Linked DNA regions of Zea mays. The protein of the gene in region 1 interacts with the protein of each later gene in a pairwise test. Links are inferred from orthologs where the notes say so. Each region holds a gene or a part of one and is shown in the gene's direction. Other genes may lie near its edges. The genes, in order: type 2 DNA topoisomerase 6 subunit B-like, Meiotic recombination protein SPO11-2 and DNA topoisomerase 6 subunit A3-like.

The links.
Region 2: the proteins of type 2 DNA topoisomerase 6 subunit B-like (region 1) and Meiotic recombination protein SPO11-2 interact in binary tests that used the Arabidopsis thaliana proteins (3 or more experiments, as listed by UniProt). The link is inferred for Zea mays from reciprocal best matches to the Arabidopsis thaliana genes AT1G60460 and SPO11-2.
Region 3: the proteins of type 2 DNA topoisomerase 6 subunit B-like (region 1) and DNA topoisomerase 6 subunit A3-like interact in binary tests that used the Arabidopsis thaliana proteins (3 or more experiments, as listed by UniProt). The link is inferred for Zea mays from reciprocal best matches to the Arabidopsis thaliana genes AT1G60460 and RHL2.

What each region holds. Positions count from the first base shown.
Region 1 is NC_050100.1:60,887,240-60,891,062, forward strand, and holds the end of type 2 DNA topoisomerase 6 subunit B-like, read left to right. Parts: intron 1-319; coding exon 320-513; intron 514-1,525; coding exon 1,526-1,667; intron 1,668-1,911; coding exon 1,912-2,105; intron 2,106-2,226; coding exon 2,227-2,350; intron 2,351-2,690; coding exon 2,691-2,987; 3' UTR 2,988-3,239; downstream 3,240-3,823.
Region 2 is NC_050099.1:34,754,946-34,759,089, forward strand, and holds Meiotic recombination protein SPO11-2, read left to right. Parts: upstream 1-1,326; 5' UTR 1,327-1,387; coding exon 1,388-1,471; intron 1,472-1,544; coding exon of another isoform or gene 1,545-1,631; intron 1,632-1,872; coding exon 1,873-1,996; intron 1,997-2,080; coding exon 2,081-2,218; intron 2,219-2,310; coding exon 2,311-2,399; intron 2,400-2,512; coding exon 2,513-2,641; intron 2,642-2,725; coding exon 2,726-2,820; intron 2,821-3,208; coding exon 3,209-3,271; intron 3,272-3,363; coding exon 3,364-3,440; intron 3,441-3,523; coding exon 3,524-3,651; intron 3,652-3,787; coding exon 3,788-3,922; 3' UTR 3,923-4,109; downstream 4,110-4,144. UniProt on the Arabidopsis thaliana protein: Component of a topoisomerase 6 complex specifically required for meiotic recombination. Together with MTOPVIB, mediates DNA cleavage that forms the double-strand breaks (DSB) that initiate meiotic recombination.
Region 3 is NC_050096.1:43,347,685-43,351,729, forward strand, and holds DNA topoisomerase 6 subunit A3-like, read left to right. Parts: upstream 1-1,330; 5' UTR 1,331-1,435; coding exon 1,436-2,746; 3' UTR 2,747-2,763; intron 2,764-2,982; 3' UTR 2,983-3,398; downstream 3,399-4,045. UniProt on the Arabidopsis thaliana protein: Component of the DNA topoisomerase VI involved in chromatin organization and progression of endoreduplication cycles. Relaxes both positive and negative superturns and exhibits a strong decatenase activity. Involved in cell-elongation processes.

The sequences.
Region 1 (3,823 bases):
GCATTGGCTACGGATATATTGGTAACAAGTATCTTGGAAAAAAGGTTATCAATAAACTAAATAGGTGTATATATGTCCTTGAGCTGATTAACTGAAACAAAAAAACATAACAGGTCTAAAAGTGATTACCATTTTTCAGCTGTCGGTCACTTGTGGTGTGACCGTCCGAGTGTGACATTTAACTTGAATTGGTTGTGGAATATTTTCAGTTTCGATTGTTGAGTATCAAGGACGCATGTACCTTGAGAATCTCTGTTTTGCCTCTTTTTCCTTAAGCTGACAACTTAAGTTCCTGTTTGGCTGTTTATTTTGTACTTAGAATTTAGCATGTGAGCTCTTTGTTGAGCAAACAGGCAACACTGGTTCCAGAAATGTCTGTCTACCACAAGATTCTGATGATGTGCATCATTCTGTTACGGCATCAAGTATTGACCAGCTAGTTTCTGGTCTTAAAGACTACTCACTCTCCCATGTAAATTCTTGCGACAAGTGTGGCATGTGCTTATTTGATAGGTAAAAAAACCTTTCCATCATGACTGTCTTACATATTTTTCTCATACTACTATGCTGCTAAGATAATTTTACTGAATTTGCTAATATATGCTCCAAAATTTTCATGCTGAAGTCACCCTTATTCTTACCTGGGGGCATCTAGGTAGGGGTTGTGCTTTTTGATTTGCTTGTGTCCCTTTTCTGAGCTTACCAATATTCTGTTTATAATTACTTCTAGTCTTTACTCAAAATGAGATGTTTTAAAAACCAAATCATATTTTTCTGCTATCTGTCTTTATTTGAATCTTTCATCAGTAGTTTATCATCTGTATTCATTTCTAGCTTTTTTCCTGAACTCACAATTTAGAAAGCTAAATGATATTTCTGGAATCTCTTTTCCGTGTTCTTTGGAGTTTGCTGTTGATAAATCTTGTTAAGCAGATCGCTTTTTCCATTATTCTTTGAATTCAATTGTATATTTTTTTCCTTTTTTCAGGTCCATTGACATCATGTTTTTTGTTTTAGGTATAGCCCTATGTGAGAAAGCTAACCAAGAATCACTGCTATGTGCTATGTTTGCATTCGTTGATTTTTTTAAGAAATTTGCATTCATTTGTGTTTAAGACATATTTTCACACTTGTTAGCATGATTTGTGTTTAAGATATATTTTCACACTTGTTAGCATTAGATCTTTTGTATCTTCTTTCCTATATTTAACCATGAGAAAATTGTTGATGGCAGCCCACATGCAACAGCATCCCATGCTTCACTGTGTATTTGCCCATTTCTTAATCGCCCAAGCCCAAGCCCAAGCCCAAGCCCATTCTCTCGGCCTTTCTGGCATGCATGTGCTAAGCTCCTATGTCCAAACCTTTATGTAGTCTGGTCTGTTGTCTATTCACTCATTGGCATGCTAATGAACACTTGCATATCATCTGAGTGTGGTGTTATGCATCCTCACGGGTCAGGACAGATTGGTGTGCTTCCATAACATGATTAGTAAGTTTTAGTTTTTCTTCCTTCTTACTTCAGAGATCTTCTAAAGATTGGAACTGGAGCAGCAAACCATGTAGAAAGAAGAAAAGCTAACCGACTACATGTTGAAGTAGTCATAGTGATTGCACATATTGCATCTGATTCAGATTGTTGTATGGCAAATTGCTCGTCCACGCAGGTTTGAACCACGAAGGTTTTAGTTATACATTTTCATTTCCTAAATAGTTTTTTCTCCTAGGCCCTAGTGCGGTACATTCCCCATGCCAAGACAATCTTATTTTAATTTGACAATGGAAATGACTTGTTCGTTTGACTTATAACTTACTTACTAACAGTACAATAACTCTCGTAAAGTATATTAGAGTTAAGCATGATTCAACTGAGCTTATAGTTTATGCCATTGTTGGCTGCAACAATTGCAGGTTTTGTACTTTGAAGATTTTGTACCTTGTCAGATATTGCAGTCCTCTTTTGATGTGTTGATGAGCACAGACTGGCAAAGCTATGGTTTCAAGTTAAAAGGAGGTTTGATGGGTGATGACGGAAACGCTGTTCTCGAGTGGGATAACATGGCATTTGCTCGTATTGATATTTCCATTCATACTTACCACGAATGATATCCAGTTTGCACACTTCATCCTCTTTTTGTTTTCATCCACAAGTTATTTTTTTCAGTGAAAGCTCAATCTATATGTAGAGGGTGGATTTTCTGTCTATCCTTGACTTTCTCCAGCCACTGCTATGCAAGAACGGCAGGGATCTCCACAGGATAGATACCTTTTGAGGAAGGCACTCAAATCTGCTCTAACTCACTTGAAAGCAGATCATGCAGGAGATTTTCTTAGTTGCCATGGCCAGAGGGTATGCACTTTGTACATATTTCTTAGTTTTTTACTACTATTGATTAACTTATTCAGTATGTTTTTTGGACTGAAGAAATTATGTTGCTATTTGGGTAGAAGCTAAGGCTAAAGTGCCATCATACACTTAGGACAATTTGTCTTATTCTATCAACTACGCAACTACGCTGCAAATGGTCACCTATTTATTAGAGTTAGTATAGAGAAAGATAAGCTAAGCGTGACATCATAATAAGCACCATAAAATTCTATCATGAAAAGAATACCATATGTTAGTTATATCATTTCAGGTTGTATCATAATAAGCACTCTAAATCATTCGGTTCATTATGTCATTTCAGGTTCGTGAATACGTTCCTGACCTTGCGGAATCAATCGCTGGGCTGATCTTGTCATCCACCGATGAAGAGTTCCAAGGCGAATGCTTTGCGCTTCTTGGGCTAGGCTCCGAACAAGACGTCTCTGGAGGAGCTGTTCAGTCGTCGATCTGCGAGAAGATGATCCGCATCATAGAGATAAATGACACCAAGGATAATTCAGAGGACAACGTGCCTTATCTGTTCGAATGCGAGAAGCTGGATGAAGATAGCGAGCTGGACGAAGGAGGTGGAGATGAAGACATGGCTTCCGATTTCTAGCGTTGTTTTCACCCGTCTACCGTCTCGTAGAGTTGTAGTGTAGTTAGAGATGGCAATGGGTGTCGAAAACCCGAATACTTATGTAGGTGGATATGAGATGATTTTTATATTGGTGGATATGTTAATGAACAACAATCCCTGCCCGTTGGATAAACGGTACGATACACGCACCGTATATCCGTGAGTAAAATATATCTGTACCATACAACTATTATTATCTAATAAAATTAAAATAAAACCCTTTTTCGACTATCGTTTATTTAACTTTCAAGTTATGTAATCATTTGGTTTGTTATATTTCAGGTTAAACTTATTTTTATGTATTTATTTGACATTTGAGTGTTCGGAATATTATAATTTAAGATCTTCTTAGCGAGTATGGGTTACCCATGGAGCATGGGGTATAAGTATGAGTAGATTTAGTACTAAGAGCGTATATAGATAATCCGATAATAAATATATACCTGTTGCCATCTCTAATCTCTAATTGTTGTAGCCCAGACTCCACTAAACCCGCTCGCTGAACTCGAGGCGGTTTAAGTAGCAGTTGCTACGTCAATGTTTAGAAAACGTAATTGCAGAAATTAAATAATTAAACGGAATATAGCTGCAGCCTGCAGCCTTTCCAAAACTTCTACAGTTTAATCAAAACTAGTCTTGGGGCAACTTTTTAGGCAAAGTGGAGACCACGGCCTAGTAAAATTGCAGTAAGCTGCTCCGTAGTTTCCCTGTCATTTAGAGATCACGCTTCGCTGTTTAGAGTAAGCTTCTTCTTTGTGTTTTGAAGAACCATATTATCTGTTTATCTTGTAGTAATAACATTTCACAAATCCATT
Region 2 (4,144 bases), on another chromosome or scaffold:
GGTCAGTGGCTGGTTGGATCGTAGGAGGTGGTGAAGGTCGGTGTCCATCAGCTCGTAAACAACGTAGGCGTCGTTGAAGTTCTCCCTTCTGGGTGGTCGTAAACAATGTATATACGTACGTACACACACACATGTAGCCAACATATGCAGCATACAATAATCATATAACAGCCAGTCATCACCACAAGCTTTTGATGAGATGAAAAGAACATGTAGCTATACACCCTTTTTTGTGGCCACCGCTCAGTCTCCCAAGTAAAAGAACTAGTATTCTTAGGCCATGTATGTACACGTGTACATACACCGCCTAGATTGATGAGATGAAAAGAACATGTAACTCTCTCTCTAGTTTTTTTTAAGAGCGATTGACTTAAGTTAACCATCCCAAAAAAATATTTTTAAGCTTCTTACAAAATTACTAGATAGTTGTACGTGCTTTGCTACAGTTGTTATATGTCATATAAATAGACATTAAAATATTTATTCGTATATAATTGTTGTTTATTTCTAAACTCTATAAGGTACGTGTGCTGGTGGTTAGACCTAAATTTCTGAAGCAGGGGACATGGGTTCGAGTGCTCACTCTGCACTATTTTTTGTATAGTGTGGTAGTTGTGCGGTCGGGATCGGGTGCTGGGTAGGCTCGGGTGCTGGGTAGGCGCAGTAGGGCGTTGGGGGTCCACATGGCAGTAGCTGAGAGGGCGTTGCGCGGGCGTTGGGCATGGGTCCCACAGGGCACGATGTCGAGGCGAGGTGTGTGGGACGGGAGAACCAGTCGGAACGTGTGGGGCGGGCCTAGAATTTTAGCGCTGAGGTTGAAACCGTGGTAGCACCAGCTGCCCACGTTAGATTCTTAATAGAGTAGTATAGATTTAGAAGCCATGAAAATGAGAAAAAAATTACATGTCAATAGATATGGAGGACTGACTATTACAAGATTTTGTGCTCAATTTCACACAAGTGCAGTTATGCACAAAAGGAAACGGAGGAAATTCCAACAAGCAGCCTTATGTTTGACGGTTGTCCTTCCGTCCGACTAGGGGTGGTAATGAATCGTGATCCAAATGCTTTTTCACAAAATGATAGAGTTTTAAATAATTTGCAGTTCAAAAATGAATAGAAATAGAGCACGATTCTAATCCGATTTGATACTTAAATTTTATAGTTAAATTTTATAGTGTAAAAATTAGAATTTATTGTCACCCTACGTTCAATATAAGTTTAAGTCTGTAGGGGGCATACTACCACAGGTACGCAGACCACTACTGGACTCTCATTTCCTAACTCGGCCCAGCCCATTCGCCGGTGCCCGCAGGCCGCAGCACACACACAACTTGGCGACTCGCCTCCGCCCGCGAACCGCAGCAGCGTCTCCAACTCTCCATCGATGGCGGAGGCGAACGTGGCAGCGGCGTCGCTCTTCGGCGCTGACGGCCGCCTCTGCTCAGCCGACATCCTCGCGCCGCCTGAGGTTCCGCCTCGCCCATGTCTTCGTGCGCGCCTTTCGTTGTGGTCACTGACGGGTCCTATTTCGTTGTCGATAGGTCCGGGCTAGGATCGAGGTAGCGGTGCTCAACTTCCTCGCAGCGCTAGCCTCCCCTTCCTCGCCGGCCATCTCCGTCCTCCCCCTGGTACACCAGTTGCCAAACCTCCCCCCCTCCCCCTCTCTCACACACACACATTCCTCTCTTACCGCGGTGATGGTTCTGCGCGCTTCACCCATGTGCCATGTGGATAACACAGGAATTTGGTCCCTAGCCAATTATCACGATTCGTCATCAGTTATTGCAAGCTGTATGATTTCTAGTTCAGATAACCTTGGTGAAATGTATTGCGAGCAGTATTCTGAATGATTTCTTTTTTCCATGGCAGATTAGTCGGAGCTCTGCCAACTGCAGCCTGCGCAGTGGGTTGCTGAACGACGTCTCGTCGGTTTATCTCTCATACACCTTCTGCAAGAGGTCTCTGACGCACAATCCAAAGGCGTTCGTAAGAGGTTACCACTTGTTCCTTGAGTACCCTGGGACGGAATTATCCTCGCCCATTTGTCTGGTTAAAATAGCCGTTTGTTGTGGGATAGTGTGGAAGGTCATGGAGATGTGCTACAAGATCTTGGGGGAGGGGAAGCTGGTCCAGCAACGGGAGCTGTTCTACAAGCTCCTGTCCGACTCACCCAAGTACTTCAGCTGTCAACGTCATGTCAACCAAGCCATTCAAGGTGGACAAAACCCCCACCCCAACCCATTTGATTCTTGTTTGGCTAATGTGTAGTTTGGTCGTAATCAAATTTGGTCCCCTCTTCACGTGCAGATGTTGTTTCCTTGCTCCGGTGCACAAGGCAGAGCTTAGGAGTCATGGCATCAAGCAGAGGGGCACTCATTGGGCGCCTTGTGTTGCATGTCTGCTCCATGATATCCCAGAATATATCCTGATTATGTGTTGAGGGAATACATGATAAAGTCTTGTTTATCTTTTCAGTAAGCACCTAAACTGCATGTTTCAACTACCTTAGGAACCGGACGGGGAGCAGATTGATTGCTCCATTCTTGGAGCTTCAGGGCATGCAATTACGGGGGACCTGAACCTGTTGAGCAAATTAAATTTGTCTTCGGGCTCTCGGTACATCATTGTGGTGGAGAAGGTACCGATCCTACTGCTATAATTTAGTAATGATTTATCTCTATAGTGCATCCTTATAGCTTATAAGGTCATTTGTTTCAAATAGGATGCCGTATTTCAGAGGCTGGCTGAAGACCGCCTGTATAATCAGCTCCCTTGTATTCTGATCACTGCAAAAGGATATCCTGATATTGCCACAAGGTTGTGTACCTCCATTTCAAGCATTTAGTTTTTCTTATTAGGAGTGTGCAATCAAGCTATCTAGTGCATCCAATTAAAATTCAACGGTGACTGCTATTTATATTTAACCACCCCCCCCCCCCCCACCCCCCACCCCCCCCACACACACATACACCTGAAACCTAGTACCTATTTTACATTTAACCTCTTCCATATAAAACTGTTGGATATATATTGAATGCTTTGGATTGTTTGATTGCACGCTGGCACCAAATGAGTGATTGCACGGGATATATCACCACTTATGTAATGTAACAGTGCAAGTTTGCATCCAAATTCTTTATGATAATGTTGACAATATTTGGTGATAGGTGTATTTATGCCCTACATATTTGCTGTCATGATACAGGTTCATCTTGCATCGACTGAGCCAGACATTTCCGAATATGCCGATTTTCGCATTAGTGGATTGGTTAAGCCCCTTCCTGTGCTCATCGCTATATAGTGTTATAACTGAGTGATGCCCTTTTAACAAATTTAGATAGCATTGATTTTTTTTTCCAGGAACCCAGCAGGGCTTGCTATACTGTGCACTTACAAATACGGAAGCATATCAATGGGCCTAGAGTCATACAGATATGGTACTTTGTTTGAGTGATCATCTGGCCTTTATTCTGCACATGTGGCCGAACCGAACCATGTGAATCCTGTTCTCCATTTTCAGCTTGCAACGTGAAATGGCTCGGGGTGAGAGGAGGTGATCTGCATCTTATCCCCGAGGACGCGTTTCAAGAGCTGAAGCCACGTGATCTGCAGATTGCCAAAAGCTTGATGTCGTCAAAGTTCCTGCAGGTGTGTGTATTTGGCTCTCAACGTCGTTACATAATTACTATCGTTCCCTGATGCTTTATCATATGGCCTTGTGTAAAATTCGGCTTAAGGCCCTTATATATGTCTGCAAATGATTTATGGTGGTTTTCGGCTGTAGGAGAGTCACAGAGCTGAGCTGGCGCTGATGGTGGAGAGGGGCAAGCGTGCAGACATCGAAGCCCTCTACTCCCACGGGTTCGATTTCTTGGGGAAGTACATCGCGAGAAAGATCGTGCAGGGCGATTACATCTGACGATTGGCCGCTGGAATGTTAGCATGGTTGCACGGAACAATGAGCTGCATGGACTGTAGTACAGTAGCTATGTCCAACTGCCTGTAGACTGAAACGATGGTCTGTATGGGAATGTACATAAATACAACAAGAGTAGTCTAATATCGATCATCATCGGCCACCGAATCACATGGGTTTTGACTCTCTTGAGTTCTGATGTTCAGTGGCGGTGCCCGGTGTATG
Region 3 (4,045 bases), on another chromosome or scaffold:
AGTTCTGAGTATCTGCTAGGAATAATATATAGGACGTACGAGACTCGTTGTTGTTGATGTTCTGCGAGACTCGTTGATGTTCTGTGTGTGTATACATGAGCATGTAGCCCGAGGCTCTTTTTTTTGCCCGACTGGGTTCGTGCCTGGGCCGGACCGCCACAATAAACGAGGCCATGCTTGGGCTATCCATAGTGCTTGCTGCGCGACCCGGCCCGCCAGAAAACAGCAGGCACGGGGCCGCCTCGGTGTCGGGGTGCAGGGCATAAGGCACACACGACATCCCCCTTCCCCTCGTCTCATCCCAGTGTCCCACTCCCACACGGCTTCTCCTGCTCCTCTCCCCACTCGATTCGTTTGTTCGTGGTCTGCCCGTCGCGCCGTCTTTGCCTCGCTGTTGTTGTCGCCACCATCGAAATTTCATCACCGGCGACATCGGCGGGTCTCCTACACTCCTTTTGTGCGGCTTGCCCCTCTCTGGCTCTCCCTCGGTCCCTCCCTAATCCAGAAATCCCTAACCCAAATCTCGTCGTCGTCGGTTATCGGCTCGTCAAGCGTCGTTGTGCACTAGATCCTTGTCTCCGGCTTTGAGCTCCGGCTAGGCAGGTACGTCCCTCTTCGGCTCTCCCTCTCCAATCGGCAATCCCTAACCCTAATCTCCTCTTCGCTGCTTGCTTGTGGGCTTTGGTAGGTCATCGGCCGACTACGTCGTGGTCGTGCTAGTGCCGCCAAGGCCGTTGAGGTACGGAGCCGAGAAGGGGGGCTACGTCGTGAATTCTGATCTAATTTGATATCACCCTTTGGCTTGTAATAAATTTGAACATTTGAATTATAAACTGAGTTGGTCGTACTTTTTTCCTTTCTAGGGTTTCTCACGAGGTATGAGTTTTACCTATAAAGGTTTTTAACGAGACAACATTGCATTAACAACTCAAATTTTGTGTATATTTTGTTCAAATTGTGTTGGATGTTGAAATTGTGCATGTTTTTGTTCAAATTGTGTTTTCGTGCTAGCTCGACACTCTATTTGGCTAGGGCTTTTCGGGCTGGCTTGACCCGAAAAAATGGTTCAAAGGGATGTGCCCACGCATGATTGTGCATGCTTGGCCCGATAGACCCGTGGGCCTGGTCATGTCGTGCCTTGGCATGAGCCCAGGTCGTATCGTGCCGAGCATGACTAGTTTGCTCATCTATAGTTTTGTGTCATTGCGGCCTTGAGCCCATAAGCTATTCGGCCCATTAGCTTAGCCCAGCCGAGACGCCGCGCGCGGCACAGCCCTCCTCCGGTACTCGGTCAGTCGGTCCTCCACACTCCTCACCAGTCACCACCAGACCAAATCGCAGCCGCGCTCGAGCTAAGCCCCGCCGCCGACGCCGTCATCTGCGCCCCAGAACCCCGTATTTCCCTCCGCCGCCTTCCGATCTCTCGCTCCTCCCCATGTCGGAGAAAAAGCGCCGCGCCGGTGCGAGCGCGGCCGGCGCCGCATCCAGCTCCAAGAAGCCGCGTGCTTCCTCGGCCGCGTCGTACGCCGAGTCCCTCCGCTCGAAGCTCCGCCCCGACGCCTCCATCCTGGCCACCCTCCGCTCCCTCGCTTCTGCCTCCGCTTCCAAATCCAAGGCCGCCGCCAGGTCCCTCGCGGACCACGACCCGTGCGCGGACCCCGCCTCCTCGTACATCGTGGTGGCCGACCAGGACTCCACCTCCGTCACCTCCCGCATCAACCGCCTCGTCCTTGCCGCCGCGCGCAGCATCCTCTCCGGCCGGGGCTTCTCCTTCGCGGTGCCCTCGCGCGCCGCCTCCAACCAGGTCTACCTCCCGGACCTCGACCGCATCGTGCTCGTCCGCCGCGAGTCCGCGCGCCCCTTCGCCAACGTCGCCACCGCGCGCAAGGCCACCATCACGGCGCGAGTCCTCTCCCTCGTCCACGCCGTCCTCGGCAGGGGCATCCACGTCACCAAGCGTGACCTCTTCTACACCGACGTCAAGCTCTTCGGCGACCAGACCCAGTCTGACGCCGTCCTCGACGACGTCTCCTGCATGCTCGGATGCACCAGGTCCTCGCTCCACGTCGTCGCCTCCGAGAAGGGCGTCGTCGTCGGCCGCCTCGTCTTCGCCGACGACGGGGACCGGATCGACTGCACGCGCATGGGCGTCGGCGGCAAGGCCATTCCGCCCAACGTCGACAGGGTCTCGGGCATCGAGAGCGACGCGCTCTTCATCCTCCTGGTGGAGAAGGACGCTGCATTCATGCGACTCGCCGAGGACAGGTTCTACAACCGCTTCCCCTGCATCATTCTGACGGCCAAGGGGCAGCCAGATGTCGCCACCCGGCTGTTCCTGCGGAGGCTCAAGGTTGAGCTGAAGCTGCCAGTGCTCGCGCTGGTGGATTCCGATCCATACGGGCTCAAGATCTTGTCGGTGTACATGTGTGGTTCCAAGAACATGTCGTATGACAGTGCCAATCTGACGACGCCGGACATCAAGTGGCTCGGTGTCCGGCCGAGCGACCTGGACAAGTACAGAGTGCCGGAGCAGTGCCGTCTCCCCATGACCGATCACGATATCAAGGTGGGGAAAGAGCTGCTCGAGGAGGACTTCGTGAAGCAGAATGAGGGCTGGGTGAAGGAGCTGGAGACGATGCTTCGCACCAAGCAAAAGGCTGAGATACAGGCCCTCAGTTCCTTCGGGTTCCAGTACCTCACTGAGGTCTACCTGCCTCTTAAGTTGCAGGAGCAGGATTGGATTTGAGAACTCTCCAATGCTAGGTACGAGATCTTTGGTCTTGTTCGCGTCACTTTGTTCATTGCTGCCCACGCTCGGCTTGATATGGTTATTAGTGCATTTCACCAAGTACACAGCACAACACAACACTTAGGCACCTTTCCTCATGAGTGAATTAGCAACACAGAGATCCAGATTGTTCAGTCAAATGTATCAGTTAACCAAGACTGTCATTATACCTGATATTGTGTTTGTACATGCAGATATCAGTAATTTCCCTAGCCAAGATAATGCCCTCCTCCGCTCAGTATTTTCAAGGACCAAATTGGCATGAATGAAGACTTCGCTATCTAGTTAATCACATGTATTTTTGAACACCAGCTGTTGTATTATTTATTTCTGCTGGAGAACTGTTCTGTGGAAAACATTGCTGCCAGATATGTGCTGGAATTTGATACATAACACAGGTGATTTAAATTGGTTCGGCCTCTTATCTGGTCGAACTTTGGTTGTTCTGTGTCCTATATTTCTGTAGGGCTTATTAGTTCCGTGTTTGACATGGAAATGGGATAACCCGGATTGAATGAAAATGTACTGGAAATTGATATATAGCAGTATGAAAATCCATGCATGATGTCTTTAGAAACATGACAATTAAATTCAATTACCCTGTTTTCATATGTACACCCAATCCTAGAATAACTGTACCAATTTATTGTATAGTAAATGGACCAAAAGGCTATTGTAAGAAAATGTCACACTGCAATCCTTGCGGCTTTCTTCTTCAACCAATGGTTCAGTGAGTTAATAGGGATTTTTATCATTCCCTGTGGTCTCCTAGTGAATTCTTTGGATATTTGCTCTAAATTACCTCTAGATTTTGTTGGTGCTTTGGATTTTGATGAAACAGGAGGGCGGCTTCCAGGTTCAATCAAAACTAATTTCAACTTCAGCTCTTGCCTGCACGACATCAACTGCACTAGTTTCAGTAATTATTGCCTGCACGATGTCAACTGCAGTAGTTTCAGCTTCAGCTCTTGATGTCTTCTCATGATCCGTGATGATAATACGAAGTGGCAGCTCAACATGACCTAGGAGGTATTGCTCTTTGATCTTCCGAAGAACAGATAGAACAATTCGAGCTTCAACCTGCAGAATACATGGTATTATGGATTACGGTAAGCACAAAAAACATAGTGATGGTTTCTGTAAATATCGCTATTCAAAATCAGTCATTATGTTCATGTAGCAGATCATCTGCATATCATATAGCTTGAATTAGTTGGATGTCATTTATTACCTTTTGGAAGGCCACAAACATCGACA